Linked DNA regions of Struthio camelus. The protein of the gene in region 1 interacts with the protein of each later gene in a pairwise test. Links are inferred from orthologs where the notes say so. Each region holds a gene or a part of one and is shown on either strand. Other genes may lie near its edges.

What was found. The genes of interacting proteins can lie anywhere in the genome.
Region 2: the proteins of DTNB (region 1) and PPFIA1 interact in binary tests that used the Homo sapiens proteins (3 or more experiments, as listed by UniProt). The link is inferred for Struthio camelus from reciprocal best matches to the Homo sapiens genes DTNB and PPFIA1.

The regions. Positions count from the first base shown.
Region 1 is NC_090944.1:1,497,027-1,507,201, reverse strand, and holds the start of DTNB (dystrobrevin beta), read left to right. Parts: upstream 1-5,886; 5' UTR 5,887-5,895; coding exon 5,896-6,059; intron 6,060-6,341; exon of another isoform or gene 6,342-6,419; intron 6,420-10,175.
Region 2 is NC_090946.1:32,986,544-32,996,046, reverse strand, and holds the start of PPFIA1 (liprin-alpha-1), read right to left. Parts: upstream 4,017-9,503; 5' UTR 3,085-4,016; intron 1,935-3,084; coding exon 1,671-1,934; intron 1-1,670. UniProt on the Homo sapiens protein: May regulate the disassembly of focal adhesions. May localize receptor-like tyrosine phosphatases type 2A at specific sites on the plasma membrane, possibly regulating their interaction with the extracellular environment and their association with substrates.

The DNA of each region.
Region 1 (10,175 bases):
GACATCTTCCACTGATTTTGATTGACTGAGAAGAGAATAGCTATATGTAGTCCAAACTGTTACCAGAAAGCTAAAGAACAGGATTAGGTTGCATTCTGTCAGTGTTCTTGCATGTATGCTATCCTGGCAATGCGTTCTTTACTCTATTTTCCCAATAAATATTTCCCAATACATATTTCCCAACTTTTCCCAACAAATATTTCATTTTGGTTAAGAGGCAATTTTGGAGTTATTTCACAGGCTGTAGCGAGCAGTTCTGGGAACCTGCAGATAGAAAGGGCTAGAAACAGTTTTGTAAGATTGGAAAAGCTAGGAAGCACAAACTGCACAAAAATCCCCTCTTGAGTTACAAAGACGAGCCTAACCGTCCTGAGAAGGAGAGGTAGGATGTTAATTAGGATATTTCTGAGCTTTTATTGCTTTAAAATCATGGTATAATACTTTGTTATCTAAAATGAACACCCCTTTATCTAAGGAAACAACTTTAACTGCTATATTTGCTCTTGTTTGCAAGGTCATGGTAAATATTCTGTATAGATATTATTTTTAACTTCAAAAGGTTGCAAAATCAATTTGTGTTCCTCAGGCTTTTGGGAGATCAAGGAAGATAAGACTTTGATGGCTTCTGTCATTAAAGAAAAACATTTTTATATTCAAGGCGCTTAGTGTTCTAACTTCTGTCTTGTTTGGTATAGTCAAATCTGTGTTTCAGCGAACTAAATATTTAAACATGCTTTATAGCTTGCTGGCCTACCCTTCCCCATGCTTAACAATTCCTCATTTACTAATAATAAATACGGATATAAAAATAATGGGTAAATATGGATATATATTTGCAAGTATTACCTTGTGGTATTGTCTAAAGCTTTCCTTTGCTGTCACGACTTAAACTCCAAAACTTAGCACCAGGGAGCTACTAATGTACTGTGCCTACTGCCTGTCTCATCCACCATTCTCCTGTTTTGCACCTGACCTTTAAGTTCTGTAGGACTGGCATTCAGTAGTCACACACATGAACTGAAATTTCATTGTGCTGCAAGTGGAACAATAATTCAAATGACTTGGAACTGTACCTGGTGTTGGCTTTTCTCTATTTCAGTCTTGAGTTAATTTGGTACTTGATTTTTCTTGTTTTTTTTTTTTATTTCACTTTATTTTTTGTAAAGATGTTTAAAGTTTTTGAAGGACTTTTTTTTTTTTTGTTCCATCTTTGCTTAACTGGTGTGTAGTAGAATCTTGTTTACTAGGTGGGAAGATAAGTTTGCTGGTCTCATATGGGGACTTAGGTGCTCATTATCCATAACAGTAAATTAAAGCAATAAGAACTGGTTGAGGACATGTTGCTGCATGCTATGTGCTTATACAAACAACACAGATGGCATTTTATGCCTTAAAAACTTCTTGCAATTTAAATGAAACTGGCAAGGCATGGAGTAGGGAAATGTTTAGTCCTTGGTACTAAATTGTTTCTTCCAAACTACTTGATTGCCCCTTAGTTTTCAGGGAAGTTTACTATATAATAAATTCATGTTTTTGCAAAATCTTCTTTAAAAGCAGTTTTGATCCACTATTTAAAAAGGAGGAGGGGGCTGGAAACAGTGCCATTCACTTATAGGTTTGTTTGCCATGAAATTAGATGTGATCTGTGATCTATTGTCTTGATCATAGGCTAGTTTTTTGTTGTTGTTTGTTTGTTTTCCCACTCCTGCTGTTCTAGACTGAAGTCAATTTTGTCCCAGATAGCTGTGCTATTAGAAGCCGCATATTATTACCATACGTTGTGGTAGTATGCAGAAGTAATGTTTTAAAAGTATTATTCTTAATCCTTTCTTTTGTTTCAGTTTGTTCCAAACAGTTATGGGTACAGAGTTTGAAATTTTAGTTAAACTAGAAGAATTATCAGAAATTCTAGTATACTTAAAGAGATGTTGTTGGTCTAGTTGCATCTTTTATAAGTGTGAAGGCTTCTCCACTATCATCTTTCTAAGTTTTGGTCTAAATGTGTTAGCTATTCCCTGATATAACCTCTAGACCTCTTTTTCTTTTCCCTGTGAGAGGCGTAGGGGAATGAAGGATTACTTTTACTCAATTAGATATATTAATGTTTGCTGAGGAAGGGGAGATGGGAATTTGAACAAAGTGAAGATGAAGAATGAAGAAATCGGAGGAAAAAAAAAAGACAGCATCAGATAATTGGGGTGAGCAAAGAAGGAAGTGAGGGAATAAAGTGAATCTTTATGACTTTGTTCAAATTTATAGTAAAGGAAGAGTTAAAAAATACTTCAGCATTTTTATTCACCCTAGACCCACTTTATTTAAAAAACAGGCCCCTTTATGTCATAAATTACTTAATTTGTAAACTTTAGAACTAGAACATTTATGATAAGATGGAAACTATTTAAAATGATTTAAATTAAATGGAAATTCAAGCCATACATGTTTAGAAGCCCAGAACAAATAACTACAAGTGCTAAACCAGCTGTGATAGCAGAACCTTTTCCGCAAGTACAGTTATGCTGTAAATATGCTGTAAATTTTTGTTCAATATCCTCAGCTCAATGGCAGGTTCATTCAAATCTTAAAAACTGAATGAACTGACAAGGGATGAAAGCTTCATTTCTTTAAACAGCCTGTGGACGTGAGATCCTTCTAATTTGAAGGTTGACAGGAAATTATTAAGCTTCCCTAACTGTAACTAGTATGTTTAAGAGCAAGATGTGCCCCAAACTAGTGTTCTAAATTTTCACTGAATTACAAGTTATTTCTGAATATAAATAAGTATAAGTAGAATTTTCCCTAACACAGCAAGTGCAGTCATATTAAGAGATGCCAAATACTTCCTCGAGTACAATGTAACATCAAGAATCTGAACAAACTCAAACTTAATAATTCATAAATAAGCATGTATTTCTGTGTTCTCCTATTTAGCTGATGAGGCAGCAGTGTCTAAATTACAATAATCAAAAGTCAAGTGAGCAAACACCTGAAACTGCAGATAAGAAACTAGAATGGGAGAGTAAATTTTGTAGTTCATAAAGTAGTAGGAAGTCAATATGATAGTAGTTAGGGAAGAAGAGAAAGCATGGCTTTTGAGATGGTGGCTATCATTAGTGCAAGAACAAAGGCTACATTGGCTGACAATAGTTAAATACGCTTTCTCCCTCCCGTTAATCTGGAGAGGAAAATCTGCTTACTTAGGCCGTTACCTACAGCTGATGAGCTCCAAGAAGAGCGAAACCTTTTAAAATAGGTCCTGTAGTATTGGCCTAACAATCTTCTAAGAGTGACTTGCTTACTTCATTTTTGTGCTTAAGTTTTAAGTGTAGTCAAAAACCACAGAAATAAGTAGTCCAGAGTCATCAGCAGCTAAAGCTGTGAAAGCAAGTAAAGGGGAAGTCTTCAGATTTTATTTTTTTTTATGTATTGTTTTTTCTGTTCAGCCCGGTATAAGCATAGGAAACATATGGCATGCATGTATTGGGGGGGGGGAGTTTTTTTGAAGAGAAAGAGAAAGGAGAAGAGTAGAACAGAAGAATGGAATATGAATAGGAAAAGAAGAAAGAGGAGTAAAGCTGAAATATGTTAATATTTGTGGTGCTATTTAAGGTATTTCAGATAGTGAAAGTGACTGTGTAGAAGTATCCTCCTTTACTGGAATGACATTTGTAAATTAAGGTTTCATATGAATTCTGTCATATGGATTACTCGATGAAGCAATGAAATAGTAATATGGTAGCTAATGAAAGAGGGAGAAGTTGGATGCATGAGGAAAGATTGTAAACTCTTTGAAGGTTTGCACTAAACATACTCAACTGTAGTTTTGGAAGGTGTTCGATCTTACAATTTTTTTGTGTTTCAAGGTGAAAAATGATAACATTTAAAGATTTTTTTTTCCCCCATACGGTTATCAAATAAGAATCACATTGTGTTTGGAGTTTTTTTGTTTTGTTTTTTAATGACTATTTTACCACAGGATAGATAATTCCCCTTTAAGTCTCAACATTATGAATTAAAATAATAGGCATCTTGAACTAAAATTTACCATGGGCCTTGGGGACTACCTTACCTTATTGCATTAAAAAATACATTTGTCTGTGTGTATGTATAATGTATTTGTGTATACACACAAATATACATATATATTCTATCATACTTTTATATATATATGACTGTTATCTTGTCACAGTGTGTTGGTAATTTTCAAGAGCCTCATAATGTCTATCTGAAAACTGAATACAGAGAAAAGTTAGCTGAACACATACGTTATGACAGAACTAATTGAAACTGGAGCAGGTTTTAGCTTACTTTCAATATCACTGAAGATAAATCAGGAAATGCGGTCTTATTACATCCGCTCAGTTTTAGGTGCTGGCTTCATCAGTGAGTTCAACTCTGATGCTTTTGCTTCTCATTTGAACTTGAACGTACTTCACTGTGAAGCCTTCTGGGCTATAGACAGTATCAGTAACTGTACTGACATTTCTTACAGATAAAAGATAAGCTCCTCCAATAATGGGTTCATCTTACTGATTTCAGATTTGCTTCTTTGCCTTCAACAAAATTACTGCCTCCTGACATAAAGCAAAACTGTATTTTATGGATCTAGCATGGTTCTCACTGTTAATTCAAGAACTGTTCTGTCACTGCAGTGAGAAGTTTTCTATGTTTCACTGCGTCAGACTTGAGCAGACCACCTGTGCACTCTTTAAGAGTTTTCTGTGCTTCTGGCTTAGGTGGTGAATGTAAGCTGAGCCCATGCTATCAGTGCAAGAGCTGATATGAAGACCAAAACCCGTGGAATATATTTTTACTTCCAGCTCTCCATGCTTACCAGAATCCTTGAAACTTTGGGAGACTTCTAGCTAGAAGAATTTTACTCAGGTGCAGAAACTCAACTGCGTTGGTTTTAACAACCTTTAAGGAAAAAATTGCATTAGGTTGAACCTACTCTTAGTCCTCATCCTCAAGTGAATCAAGAGCATTCATAATGTAAATGACCTCTCCAGATTATTAAATATTAGAAAAGGCTTTTTGAGGAAGAAATATCCGTGGAAATCAACCAGAACAGACCATATAAACTCACTTTCTCATCACTATGAATAGAAGCTAGTTGATGGTACTGCTTTTCTATTTAAAGTACAAATCAAACGTTTTGCTGGAAAAACAAAAACGGATGTTCATCACGAAACACCCTTGTGTGTGAAATTTGCATCTTTATCAGATTTCAGGTTTTCCCCTTCCTTTAAAAGATTAGTGGCAATCTCGATGTTTTATGTTCAGGCATGTTTCTCTAAGCACTTGAGATTTGAGCCTTGGGTTGAACTGAGTGGTGTAAAAGCTAAAGAAATGAAATCCCAGTATTACCATTTAATTATTTATATTTGCACCAATTCTATATGTTTAAAAAACCTGCTACTCTCACTTGAAGCACTGTGTAGATCTCTGAATTTGTTTAGTTTCAGTTCCAAGTACAGTGTTTAGTTCGAGCATGACTTTTGTGTCGTCTTAGTAGGTTTGTTTAGCTCTCAGAATACAGATTTTTATTTCAGAAAATTCTGTGGCAGGAGAAGGGGACTGGTAAAATTGCCTCAGTAATGTAGAGGTCAGAAAAACATTAAGAGCAAGATTACGTTCTTTTGCAGAAGACAACTTTAACTAATGAGTTAGAGATCAATTCCTTCTAGTCTCAGCGTTCTTAGGTTAACTCCATTCCATCACTGTACTAAACAGCAATATAGTCTTAAATGATAAATGAACAGAGGGTGAATAGTGAGACATCTGCTGAAAGAAACCATCATTAAAAATGCAAGCCAACCGTTAAGAATGTTAGAAGGACTCAATTAGTAATTGAATTTCATCTGCTACTTTATTGCCAGTGTAGATGCATGTAAAGTTATGCAAATGGAGGTGAGGGAACGGAGAGGAGAAACAGGCAATCCTAACTTTACATATCTACTGTTGTTCTCTGAGCTATCTGTTGCCCCTCAGGAATACTATCCTGATGCTCTGGTACCGTCCTGTGAAAACATCAGCAAGTGCTCAGTTGTAGTCAAAAAAAGGTAATAGAATATTAAGAATTATTAAGAAATATTAAAAAAAGAATAAAACAATATTACTGCTACTTTGTAAAGCAGTGGTATGCCTCTTATGTCAAATATAGTGTACAGTTCTGTTTCTCCTTCATCTCTGAAAGCAGATAACAGAACTAGAAAACATATGGAGGAAGGTGATAAGGATAATCAAAAGTAGGAGGGCAGTTTTTGTACGAAAAACTGTTATATCGTCTCCCGATTCTTCAGCCTGGAAAGGAGATGACTGAGTATTGTTCATGTCTCTTCCAGCCCAGAAGTGGGTGGAGGCAGGAGCCAGCATGAAATGGAACTAGGCAGTAATGAGTCCAAAACAATCGGAAGGATATGGTGAGGAACCGTACTTCTGGTGCAATCTACTGTGGTCTCTCTTATGTTCATATTAAAAAAATTACAAGTTTCCAAGAGTGCAAAATGGAATTTTACAGATTTCTGAGCCGTGCAGAAGAACCACACAGAAAGCAGGACTGAGTACTGCATTTTTTGCTGTTATTCTGAAAAATTTGGCTTTAAGAGTATTTAGAGCATAACCTCTCTCAACCTCATTAGAGGTTGACCAATTCATTAGAATTATTTTTAGAATTTGGCTCTGCTGGCTGGTGAGGCTTCTTCTTGATGTGTGGGCCCTTGTGGGAACCTGGCTTTTCTGTGTAGTTATTCTAGAATTCAGTGTTGCTTTAGTATTGGAGAAGGAAGGAAGCAGATTCTTTGATTAAACATTATTAATCCAAAATGTGACTATCTTAATGTGTATATTCTTCTTGATGAATTTTACCTTTGAAGCCCTTGAAGGGAAGGTGGCAGAAAGAGTAAGGAAAGAAGTAGGAAGTTGCCAGGTCTACCATATAGAAAGTAGTTGTGCTGTCAAGGTTTGTCAAGGCTCGGGAATGGATGAAAATCGGGCATTTTCTTACTCTGGTCAGGATCCCAGAAAACTAGCTGGCACATTTGGGTTTGGTGTATACAATTTAAAGCTATGTTTAAAGGAGTGTTAAGGTTAAAGGTCAAACACCTTAGGATTTTAATGCTTCCTTTTCAGTCCTGACCATTTATTTCCCTTTACTCACACGCACTGAGATGCAGTGTTTATCATTGTTTTTATAAAAATCTGAGCTAATAGTTAAGGTAATTTTCATGTTAAAACTCCTTCCTAATTTCATCTTCTGAATCCGTATTGCTTTCTGCATGGGTCATCATCTGTAAAGTTCTAATGTTTATATCTGTTTGCACCTCCATGTTGCACTGGAGCTAATGGAGTGACTGCTGTCATTTCTCTGGATGAACAGCTAAAGGGAAATGAAATGCATTTTGTTTTTATATTCCATTGGTATAGGAAAATTTAAATTCTGAGTTACTGTATTTTGGAAAAGCTGTATTTTCTGCTATTTGTAGAACCTTTAATCCTTACCTCTCATCTTTCAGTTTGTCCAAGTCAAATACTAATTCATGTGCTTTGCCTTGCTACTCATTACCATTCCAGTCATTCCTGTGCAAAGTTGTAATCCGGTGTGTTAGTCTTCACTTCTGTCTCACCTCCTTGTTCAGTCTGTTGTGTTTTCCTGTCCTAGGCTTTTCCTAGTTATGTGCACCAGAATTGCTTTAGTCACCTCTTGGTTTGCCCTTTCCTTGGCTCATTCCTTATCTTTTCAGCTTTCCTGGCATGCATGTTTTGATTTGGACTCACTGGAGCATAAAGCGCTTTCAGTAGAAGGAATGACGAAATGAACTGGGATCCCTCAGCATGGAAGAGAGGGCTGGGGAAAAGATATGCTGGAGATCTATAAAGTCATAAATGTCATGGAGAGGATGGATAGTGGTGGTTCTCCCACCCCCATCCCATTTTTCCTTCCCATAGAAGAACTGTGTGACTTCAAAATCTGATGGGAGAAGGCAGGTTCAAAAGAATGCAAGAAGGTGATTTGTTGAACTGTGGGTTTTATGCTCTGGAATTTCTTGCTGCTAAGTGCTGTGGACATTAAAAGTTTACAAGTTGTGAAGGACAGGCAGATAGGCTCATGGAGGAGAAAGCTGTGGATGGTTACTAACTCCAGAGGATCAATTTGACTCTGGAAGTCTTGGCGTTGCGAACTTTTGGACCTTGAAAGTGTATTCTCAGGAAACTTTAACTGTGTGCTTGTTCCAGTCTTGCATTCTTCCCTCGACATCTACTTTGGGCTGCTTTTGGAGACATGATACTGCTTTGGCAAGATGGATATGGCGCAGTGTTATTTTCTTATTAGAACTTTGCAACAAAATGATTAAGATTTTTAAGCATCATCAAGCATATTTATTTTTCTAAACCGCCTTAATCATTTTATCTCAGTTCTTCTTTATAACTGAAGTCCAACAAGCTCCTTCTGGCTTACTGTTAGGGAAACCCTCAGGTCCAAACCTGAAGTTTTGTGAATATATAAGGTCTTTCTTCTGTTGACAGTGTAAAGGATTGACAGTTTTAGATCTGTGTTGCTACTGCCCTTTTTATAGCAATAAAAACCATAGGGCATGGACTTGCGACTTCTTTTGCATAGGGTGGTCATATAGCATGTGTTATATAGTTAGCATACAGTAGCATAGGCTAAAGAGTATAAAAATGTAGTACAGTTCTGTAAGATTCACATTGGTCTATGTGTATTGCTAATTCTAAGCACTGCTGATCTATTGATGTTTTGAAGAATGATAAAGTAGATATCAAGTCTGTAGAAGCAACTAGCCACCAATATGAAGGATAAAATTAGGTAGAAAAAACTTGTATCTGCTTAAACATGTAGTGTGTTACTGGAGAATCACCATTTAAATGACATTGTTGCCTGATGGTACATAAAACAAATACTTGAGTGTTTTTTCTCTGCGTATGTCCATTGTAAGGCTGAGCATATGTCCATTTGAAGAACTTTTGTCTGCCATATCATTTTGATCCGTGCACATTTCTCAGCACTTTTCTCATGCCCTGTACCACAAATATTTAAAAAAAAAAAAAAAAAAAGATGCTGAGCAAACTACAGTCCATCTCTTTGACTTTCTGATGTTGTGCGCTCTAGTTCACCTCTTTAGCATAATTCTAGTTGTTCTGGCTTTAGTTCACTTCTATTTTGAACCTAAGATAGGTTTAAAGTGCTAAGGGTGAATACAAACTTTTCATCTTTCTTCCTCTCAGTTCCGTCAGTAAGAAACATTACTGTATCTGTTTGTTCAGGCTTTCAAAACTGCTTTGTCAGTTACTCTAATAAATCTCATTTGCCTAGTGTCGTTTCCACAACTTTTCCAAATATCTGTCAGTTTGTCCCTTAAACTTATCTCTCCGGTCAGACTACTTGGCTTGTAATGGATAACACTCTGGCCCAGAAAGATTGTTTCTTTAGATGTTCAGTCCCTCACAGATAACAGAAGAAAGAAATCTGTAAGAAAAGTTTATGTATCTAAATAGTACCATTTGTTTTCTCAGCAAGCGGGTACAGGATTGTTGAACTATTGACCTATTGAAACTTTCAGGTCTTTTGCTTCCTTCAAGAAAGGTAAGAGACTTGGAAGTGGTCCTGAGAAAACATTGCTCTGGACATGATTTTTCTGAAACCGTAACTGAATTATCTGTACAAGATAGTTCCTGATTTATAGGTTAATCACGGTGCATTATTGTGTCTCTGGAACACATTCTAATCATGGAGAGACCAGATTACTTACTAAGATCTCATTTCAAGGATAGTGCTGAACAGTTACTCATTTGCTTTGCAGTGAGTATGAACGGTAGTGCTAACTTCTTTAAAATTTTAAAAGCGTACATCTTGGTAAATGTAATCTATTTAGCTGTGAATTTTGAATAATAGTGTTATATAACCATGGTCTGTGCAGCTTTAATGACCTCTTCAAAAAACAAAATCTTGACACCCACGAAGCAGCAAAGTGTTGGTGGAGGAAGAGATTGATGTCATCATAGTGTCACACTTTTAAATGTATGTGTTACCAAACAGCACCAAAATTAATCACAGATATTAATACAGTGCACGGTATTAGTCACATACCTTCCTTTATCTCTGCTTTAGTCCTTTCCTGCGAACCAGGTCTGTACAACTTGCACAGTCCTTGAGTGGT
Region 2 (9,503 bases), on another chromosome or scaffold:
AGGCATCATCGTCACTTGCTGTAATTGTTTAAACTTAAGCACCACTGAGGATAAAAACAAGATAAATTTTTTCAGCAGCAATCTATAAAAATCCATTCTTTGCTGTATATTTATCTAAAGTTCCAGTAAAATTTCTCTCAACTATGAGACGCTGCTTCCTACAGACTTGACGTGAGACATTTATGACATTCTTGAAATTTGGAATTCAACTGCATTAATCTTTTATCTTTGAAAGAAATGCTTACATATTAGTAGCTTATAGATTTAGGAAAGAAATCTGAGAATTGAAAAGGGAAAAAAGAGGAACGGTACAGTTTAGAGCCTTGGTGATTCTACTCAGTCACAAATTCAAGTGTAACAGTCTGTAGACCATACAACTGGTTAATAGCATACATTAATGCAGCAGATCTAAAATAGTGGCTAACGAGAAGCCACAACTATTACAATAAAAAACAAAGGAAAAACAAATAATGATTTTTGCCTGAAGCACATGATTTAACACAGGAAGCAGCAAAGGCTGGAAACTTTTCCTTTCTGATTTCTACCATACCGTAGTAATACAACTATATGAACATGTATTACTTTTTATTTCCTATTCCTGAGTTATTTCCAGGACAGCTTACCATACTAGGAGTCATACAGTGACTACGCTAGGATGAAAGTAGTGGAAATAAGAAGGTTTAAGACTACTGTTTTAAAGAGTATAAACAGTAACTACAATATTTAAGGATATGTAAACATTTGGAAAATAATATGTATTCTTGGAATAACATGTGTGTACATCACTATCATGACATACTTGGAATCATAACCAAATATGCTAGGAAGTATAAGGTTATCATCAGTCATTTGAAGACTGAAAGCAGTCCCTGCTTTGACTATCATCAGATGGGTTCTTGCAGCTTTTTGAAATTTTTCAAGGTTAAAAAGGTTCAGTTGTATTCTTTTTAACTAGAATGGATAAAAACAGACAAGTTCTGTAGATATGAACTATTTTTCCTAACTACACACTACTGTCCTATATAATACTTTTAGTAGCACAGGCTGTATGTTAGTTTACTGCCTTCCTGGTAGAAAGCTCCTCCAGAAGCTAATCATTAGTAACTCCTATCAAACACAAATCCATACTCCTAAAAGGCACTAAGCGAGGTAACCAAAACGCTCAGATTTCTGTACTGCCACGGCAACACAGCACGTATTCACAAGGTAGCAGTCTTAAACTTCCCAGTTTTTGAATCTAAGTCCATAACAGTATCAGAATGGTTTGCTTTCTCTCCAACAGCTTATATGTAATCCTTGAGCATATGAATGAATAAGGCAGATAGAAACTGCATTTAAAAAAAAAATTACGAGAGTGGTAGAAGAAAGTCCAACAAGTTCTATTACACAAAAGGATGTAGATACACCTTAACGTTCAAGCTGCCCCTAAGCCAAAGAAACACCAAAAACCAGGAAAGCATACAGGAGGGAAAGGGCTGGTCTTTGGTTGGTCTCTACTTTTGCATGTCTCAAAGTAAGCAACAACAAATACCTTCAGGAAAATACTAGGCTAGATTGATCTTCCCCTGACATAACCTGACTTTTAAGTAAATTGAATAAAGAAAAAAACAAAAACAAAATGACACAGAAAAAAATTATCACCAGATACCCTCCTTTGAAAATGTCCATACCTGTGGAAGTGCAGTATTGAGCTGTCTCTGCAAGGAATCTCTCTCATGACCAACTTCATGTAGCTTGCCCTGGGTCAACGCTAGCGTCTCCTGAGTTTCTCTTAGCGTTTCCAGAAGGCGATCCCTTTCTTCCAACATGGACACCATTAACTGCTCAAAATGGGAATCAGCATCTGACTGTAACGGGGAACCTGAACCATGGCCTCCATTTCCCCCAGAGGGAATCTCTGCCTCACTGATGGTTGGCATCACCTCACACATCATCTTGAAATAAAACAAGAGAAATAAAAACCATAAGTCTCAGTCAAACAAATCTAAACATGATAAGCAAAGGAACTTGGGATACTACCCATAACACCAATTTAGCTTTCCCAATGATAGCATCAGCAAAGGTTGCCAACACCTTTGTGCTTGCCACTGTTTCATTAAGACTGCAGGAGAAAAGGTATACAACCAATTTAATCACTTTATAATGAGAATCTTGTGACTTCTTGCAAAATCAGATTTCTACAGCTACATTTCAAACTATGATCTCATTTTAACAGATTTATATTTTTGTTAAGAGGAAACTGTTGCTGAGGTCTTTGAAAAAGAAAGATAAAGCAAGCAGCAAGACACAAAAATTATATACTTAAACTTGTTACTGATTATATTGCATATTTTGAGAATCATTATCTGTCTTCTCCAACTCCTACCATACACAAAGAAGGTATTCTAAACAACTACTTTGAGCTTATGCTAGGAGCAGAACCTCTATGGTAAATTTGATGCATGTAAATTAACAGTAAATCCAGATTCTCCAATTCAAGAGAGAAACATGTAAAAGAAGATAAAAGCCCTCAACAGTAATAAAATAATAAGAGAAAGTAAGATGTCGTTATTAAGTGGTACCAGCTGTCACTGTTGATAACAACAGTAAATGTAAGTGAAAATAATTGAAGTCACAGTATGAACACAGTTAACAGTACAAATTTAATTACATTACTACTGTTAAACTGGATGGATGCTTTAAAGACCCCAAGCAGATCACCACAGGAGACAGAAACTTTTTAAAAAGCATAGGAAAAAAAATCACACATGTGATTACTGCACATTCTCACTGAACCTTCTGAAGGTCCTGAAGACCTCTGAAGGTCTCCAGACAGCCTCTCTCAACAACACAAACCTACGAGACCCTAAAACAGATAAGAAAAAAGTTCTCTCACATCCTCCCAGGTACCATAACGTTTGTTCTCAGCCTTTAAGTTCACATTGATATCTGCACATTTTAAAGAACAATTAAACTTATTCAGAGCATTACCGTGGGACTACACCTCTGAATCTCTTGAAAAACTTCAAAAAGTCTGAAATGCTGCAACATTTTTATGCATGATTACCAAAAGGCCTGTATTTTCGACACCACTACGTTATTTACCTTGTTCAATGAAATAAAAAGGCTTGGAAAACAGGCGTCAAGTTTCCTGCAGTACCAGTTTTTCTGTTTTTAGTCTTCTGTTATCCCCCAAAACTTTTCAGATTGCAAACTATCCATTCAGCTCTAGCCCAACGTCTATGTAATTGAAATACTCCATACACACGAAAATGAATAAACCTGCGGGGCAAAGAGCTGATCCAGTAAAAAGCAGCAGCAACTTCAGCTAACTACTCAAGTCCCCAGAACAGAGAACGTGAAAATAAACCTTTTCAGCTTCCCATCTCTCTATTACTGGCCCATAGTTCCTGCAACAGCTGGAATCACGTGCAGAGAAAAAAAAATACTCTATGCCGCTGGTGCAACAAGCTTCAATAGTTCATTGCTCTGAAATTCCACTCAGGTCACAGTCACTTTATTGAACAGAAAAAGGACAGGACGGAACAACGACTTGAGTTTTCTTGCAAAGGATTTGGAAAAGCCTCCTTTTTTTCCTCCTCTATTAATTCCAACAGGAGGCTCTCCTTTCAGTTTCCTGGGCCTTAGCTCAAACATTTATAATCCCAAAAGCGAGGAGCTGATACCGGTTTGAAAGGCGAGCAGAAGGGAGACTCGCAGCTTCGCCTGCATTACTCCTCCAGCCGCTTTACAGGCGCACTCTGGCCCCGGCCAGTCCCACCGACGATGCTGCGGAATTTCGATATCCAGCCGAGAGGGATGAAAGAAACCAGCCGGGAAACGGAGGCAGGCGGCGCAGGAGGCGGCAGGGCCCAGGAGCCACGGGCAAAACCGGCAGCTCAAGGCCGGCTCTCGACGCCTCTCTGCCCTGCGGAGGCCCCGGCAAACAAAGATGCACCGAGACGGCGAGACAGGGCTCCCTGCTCCCGCGGGAGCGCCGCGCCGCGCCGGGCCTCCCTGCGCGGCGGCGCAGCCCCGCTCCGCGGCAGCCCGCGCAGGGCCGGCTCGGGCCGCCGCAGCGGCGAGCGCGGCCGCGGAGGCCCCGCGCCCAGCGGGGCCCTCGCTAGGGAGCGGCGGGGCCGCGCGCGTCGCCGCGAGCCGGGCCCGGCTCCGCCCGCCGCCACCTCCGCGGCCGCGGCGGCCGGCGAAGGGCTGGCCGAGACCGGCTGGTGCCGCTGCTCCGCGGCGGCGGCCTGCGTCCGCCGGTGCCGCTGCGGCCTCAGGGGGCGGCGCAGGCCCCGCGCGCTCCGAGCGCCCCTTCACGGCCGCCAGCCGGACCCCGAGCCCGACCCGCCGCCGGCCGCGCCAGCCCCGGCCGCCGCCGCCAGCCCCCGCGCCGCCGCCGCCTCCCGCTTCTCCCGGCGCCCTCTGCGGTCCTGCATAAATTACTCCGGGGCCCACAATGCCCCGCGCGGGGGTCGGGCGCGCCTACCTTCCCGCCCCTGCCGTCGTCCGTGGCCGCGGGTTCGAGCCCCGCTCCCCCCCGGTGCCCTGCCAGCGATGCTCCCGCCGCCCGCGGCTGTCAACCCGCGAGGAGGGCCGGGCCGGGCCGCGCCGCGCCGCGCCGCGCCGCCCGCCTCCGCGCAGGGAGGCACGCTCGCTGAGGCCTCAGCAGCAAGGGCGCCCGGCGCTCAAGGGCGCTGTGTGTGCCAGTGTTGCCCCGTAATTACACGCGGGGACGGCTGGCGAAGCCTCCTTCCTCGGGCTCTGCGTGTCCCGGCACGGCCCTGCCAGGCAGGTCTGCCCGCTCCTGGCAGCGGCCACGCAGCCCGCGGCGGGCATCGCCCACTCCCTCCGCCTTGGCCTCAGCCTTGGCCGCAGCCAGGCCCCGGGCCTGGGCCTGGGCCTACCCCCCCGAGCCACAGCCGGGCCCCTCGGCCTGCGCTCTCCACCTTCATTCAAAAAAATTAGCTAGCGCTCACACAGCTATGGGGTGATGGTTTTAACCAATAATCCTGTATGACTAAGGGCTCTGGCATGAGTAAAGGGGCTAGAGGAGGAACGGCCTGTATGGGTCTCCTGTCCGCGCAAAGCGGCAGATGAAACGGCGCGAGGAGCTTTCTCCCACCACCGTTGGTACGACGTTTGCGCGCGGTCCCAGGGGCTGGTCCCGGCTAGGAAGGTTTAACCTGTGGGGCAGGACTAGGAGAAAAGCAGGTGAGCCGCGCTGGCCGAGCCTGTAGCACCGACACAGTTACACCAGCGAAAGGGGGTTTCACTGGTACAGCTTACTCCCCACAGGAAATGGGGTTTGGCTACACTGACAAAAGAGCCTCCCCCGCCCCGCTCCCCCAGTTTAAAACTGTTTCCAAACAGCATATAAATACTTTCCGCTTGCACGTACATAGCTTTCACTCTGTTCCAGGTTCATCATGTTTGTAAGGCTTTTTCACACAACGCAGTAGGGTTTTAATCTGTACGCAAAGCTTAGAAAAGTACTCTCTGTACCCTTTGTAAAAAGTTTGTGTTACTACTTTAAAGCGTCACTGAATAAAGCATTTGCATTTTAGACCCCGTTCTTTCTTTTATAAATGCAAAGCTCCAATAAGCGTCAGGGGCCGGTTACACAGTTGCAGGTCATGCAAAAAAATAACAGTCCCTGAACTGAAGCTCATGCAGTTTTATGACTGAGTTATGTGACACCTAATTTGTAAACACAACGTAGAGGCACCTAGAACTGACTAGAGTTATTAATAAGTCACTCTTCCTTCCCCCAGGCAGGAAAACCTTTACAATTATGAACTTAATACATTGTGCTCTGTATTTGCCTTTGGTATTTGAGCCCTAGGGTGAATTCAGATCAGATTTTTAAGTTTTTTCTCTAGAACCATGAGATCTAGATTTTTTTTTTCTCTTGAAGTGTCTGATGTAATCACATGACTCCGGAAGCCAGGACTTTAAGGAAAAAGCCAAATATTAGGAGGCACATTCAAATCATGAGTTCTACCAAATACTGGCTAGCAGAGATTCAATGCCAAATAATACACATCTGAACTGTAATTGTATAAAATACCGAGATCTGACTTTTCAATACAGAAACAGTAGCAAAAAAGTTAAAATCAATTGTGTCATTCCGGAGGAAAGCCCCCTAATGATATGGAATGACCTGTGTTGTCAAATAGTCTCAATACAGCGCAGTGCTATTCCTTATAAGATTGGATATATTTATGCTGATATATTATATGCTTATTAGCTTTGATTTTAACATAACCTTAAAGTGATCGTAGGACAGGTGGAAGGAAGAGGCTTCCGGGCTTCAACCTGTTATTTTGCCCACACTGAGGCTTTCTTTCACATAATTGATATGTAGAACTAGCGACAGAATTTGGGCCGTGGTTATGAAGAACAGCAACAGATTTCTGAGGTAAAATAAAGGTAATTACTTAGTGCTTAAGACTAGGCCCAGAAGATTACCTTGAAAATAATCGGCTCTTTTATTTCTAAGCACATTTCTACAGAGCCTGCTTCTATTTCATTGTCCCAAATGCTCTGTTTGTCTTTGCATTAGTAAAATCATCTCCTATAACTCCTATGCAATTCATGGACAAGTATATTGCTTATACTGTAAGTCCTGATTTTGTTTGCTTTTTTAAAGAAAACAAAAATGCTCTGCTAACTGGATCGTCTCTTTGAAAAGTTAAGCAAAGCACTGGTAAGAATATTTAAATTCTTTCTACGTACGTGAAAAACTAACACATTTTTCTGAGCACAGTCAGAAACACGTGGAAGAGTCGGGGAGTGATTTCCCTAAATCTCAGACTAGGAGTTTGGACTATTTTTCCCTTCCTCTATAATGCAATATTCAAGAAGAAAATACAAAGGAATAAGTAAGTCAAATTTTTATCAGTCTGATAAAGTGATACCTAAAAAACTGGATAGCAATAAGTTAAAAAAATCAAATAAATTCCTTTTCCTCATTATTAAAAAATAAACAAAAACTATGGTAATTTTCTGGAAGATTAAAACTTTTTGCTCTACTGTCTTCATTTTGTACTGCAAGTCTAGTATCAAAGTGATAGCCTTGCTTAATTTTTAGTAGAAAGCCCTCAATATTGAAAATTAGTGATTCCATTGTGAAATCATTTATGAATAATAGCCAAGGGACCAGCTTTTTAAATAATGCCCCACAGGCCATTAGTCTTTTCATCTGTAGTTGCAGAGCAGCCATTTCAGAAATTATGTCCACTGATCTACTCTCGAGTTCAAACAGTTTCTAGATTTCATGCTTACACTTGCATGAAAATTTTCTTTGAACCACAGAAGAACATTTCATGTTAATTCTGAGGGGAGGAAAAACACATTTTACAAACACGCTAGTGGAGTGATAAACTATTGCTAAAAAGATCTCATTTTCCTGTCATTCTCCAAATGTTACTAGATACGGACCCGTACTGTTGGACAATTGTGCCTGAACTATTGCATGGTGAATAATGGAACTATTAAATATAACTGTCATGCAGGCATAACACTTAAAGTATGTTAAATTAAGTTACCATCAACTGATTTTGATAGGTATTTCGTAGGCTTCTTTATTACCAGAAAGGCAAAGCTGTTCCCCTGATAACAAGCAGAGTAGGATTTCATCCAGGCCAAAGCTACAATTGCTTCAATTAATTCAGAAATTTAGCTGTTCAGAAGGGAACAATTTGTAGGATTGGGATCATAATTATTTGTGGAAAAGAAACCAAAAAATTGCAGTACCTGCGAATTTCAGAAGATTTTCCAGTATTTTGGGGAATCTTGTTGCTACTAATTGCCAGCTAAATGAACAGTTCCAGCAGAGTGGCAGATATCCACATTTCAGAGTCAGCCGAGGCAATTGGTTCCCAGTGCTGAAGCCTGCTGCATTCCAGGGTCGCTGCTGGGTACTAAGACTACAGCTATAGACAGTTATCCATGACAGCCATGATGCTTATCACATTGCTCCTAAGTTTTGCAGAGTAGCACAGTCTCTTATTCCCCATAGCTTCTCCTTTTTAACCTCTCCCCCCATCCCTCCCACATCATATTACCCAGTAAGACACACAACACAAAGCACGTCCCTCACTTCTGACCCATAACATGACACTGTGCTGCACTGCGGACCTCGTATGCTGTACCTAAGCTGAGATCTGAATTTTTGTACCCTGTGAATATGTTCCTCTTACGGGTCAGCTGCGGCAGTGAGGGCAGCGGAGCCATGAGATGCCTTTACTGATAAGGAACTGCCGTTATTTTATCTTCATCCTTTGAGAGTCAGAGTTCAAATGGGCTTAGACTCTTTGACCTGGCTCTGCCTGACAAACGTTGCAACTCCGGCCGTCCTTCCCGATCACAACGCAGGTGGACAGTGCGTGCCAAAATCCCCGTCTTTTGTCATGACTACATTTGTCATACCAGTTCTGTCAATGAAGAGGACATCCAATCTAAGGAGCAGTCAAGGCAGCATCTTCAATTATAATGTGTTCAAGCAAAAATAAAACAAGACTGAGAAATACAGTCGAATTTACAGCTATATGAGCAAATACTATTTCATTTCAACTTGTCCTACATAAAAAATGAAAACTAATAATGTTAGTAAAAATAAACTATCCTGGTTTGATTTTCATTTTATGCATGAGTCAAAGGGAGAGATTCTGAATGTAAGGGCTAAAAGGTTAAACACCGTATTAGGCACAAAATTGATGATCTCTATCAAATTGGACACTGCACTAAGTCTAGTCAAGACTGATTTACCTCAGACCCAGGTTCTGTGGCACAAATTCATAAGCAAACCACTGTATTCACACGGATCCTAAAAGATATCTTTGCGTTTCTTTTGCATTTTAGGATGACTTGGAATGTGTTTTGTTATTTTTAAACTAAGTTTTGTTTTGACCTTAAATGGTTAAAAATAAAATGCTGTATATATCTACCAGCTATAATCATGCTTCATTATGAAAGCAAAGCAAACAACATACCACACAATTCAGAACCGGAGAATAAATGTTAATGACCTCCATCTATTAATCTTCACTTCAACCAGTTTGTTGACAAGGCATGAGCACTCTCGCGTTCAGCTGTCCCAGCTGCTCTCGCCAGCGGCCAGAGTGCCCGTCTGAGCAGCAGGAGGTTTCAGCTGTAGAGCCTCCTCAGCCTGAAGGAGTTCTCACCCATGTCTTTGTCACCCGCCAAATCTTGTCTTACCCTGTACATGGTTAGACAGCTTTCAGAGGGGAGAAGGAGGTGTTAATGGTCAGGCACTTCCTTTAGAAGTGGGTTCCAGTCCGCACAGACTCAGGCGGAAAGAGAGCTCACGTCACATACAAATGTCTGCTCTACAGAAAGGAGGCACCATTTCCTCACACACAGAGAGTTCGGCGTTTGTCCACGCTCAGAAGGACGGCTTAGTCCAGGAGCGAACTTGAATGCAGTATTTCCTTTTAAAAGTTTCCTATTTTGTTTTTTTTAAGCACTTCACACTGTGAATTCTACACTGAAAGCCT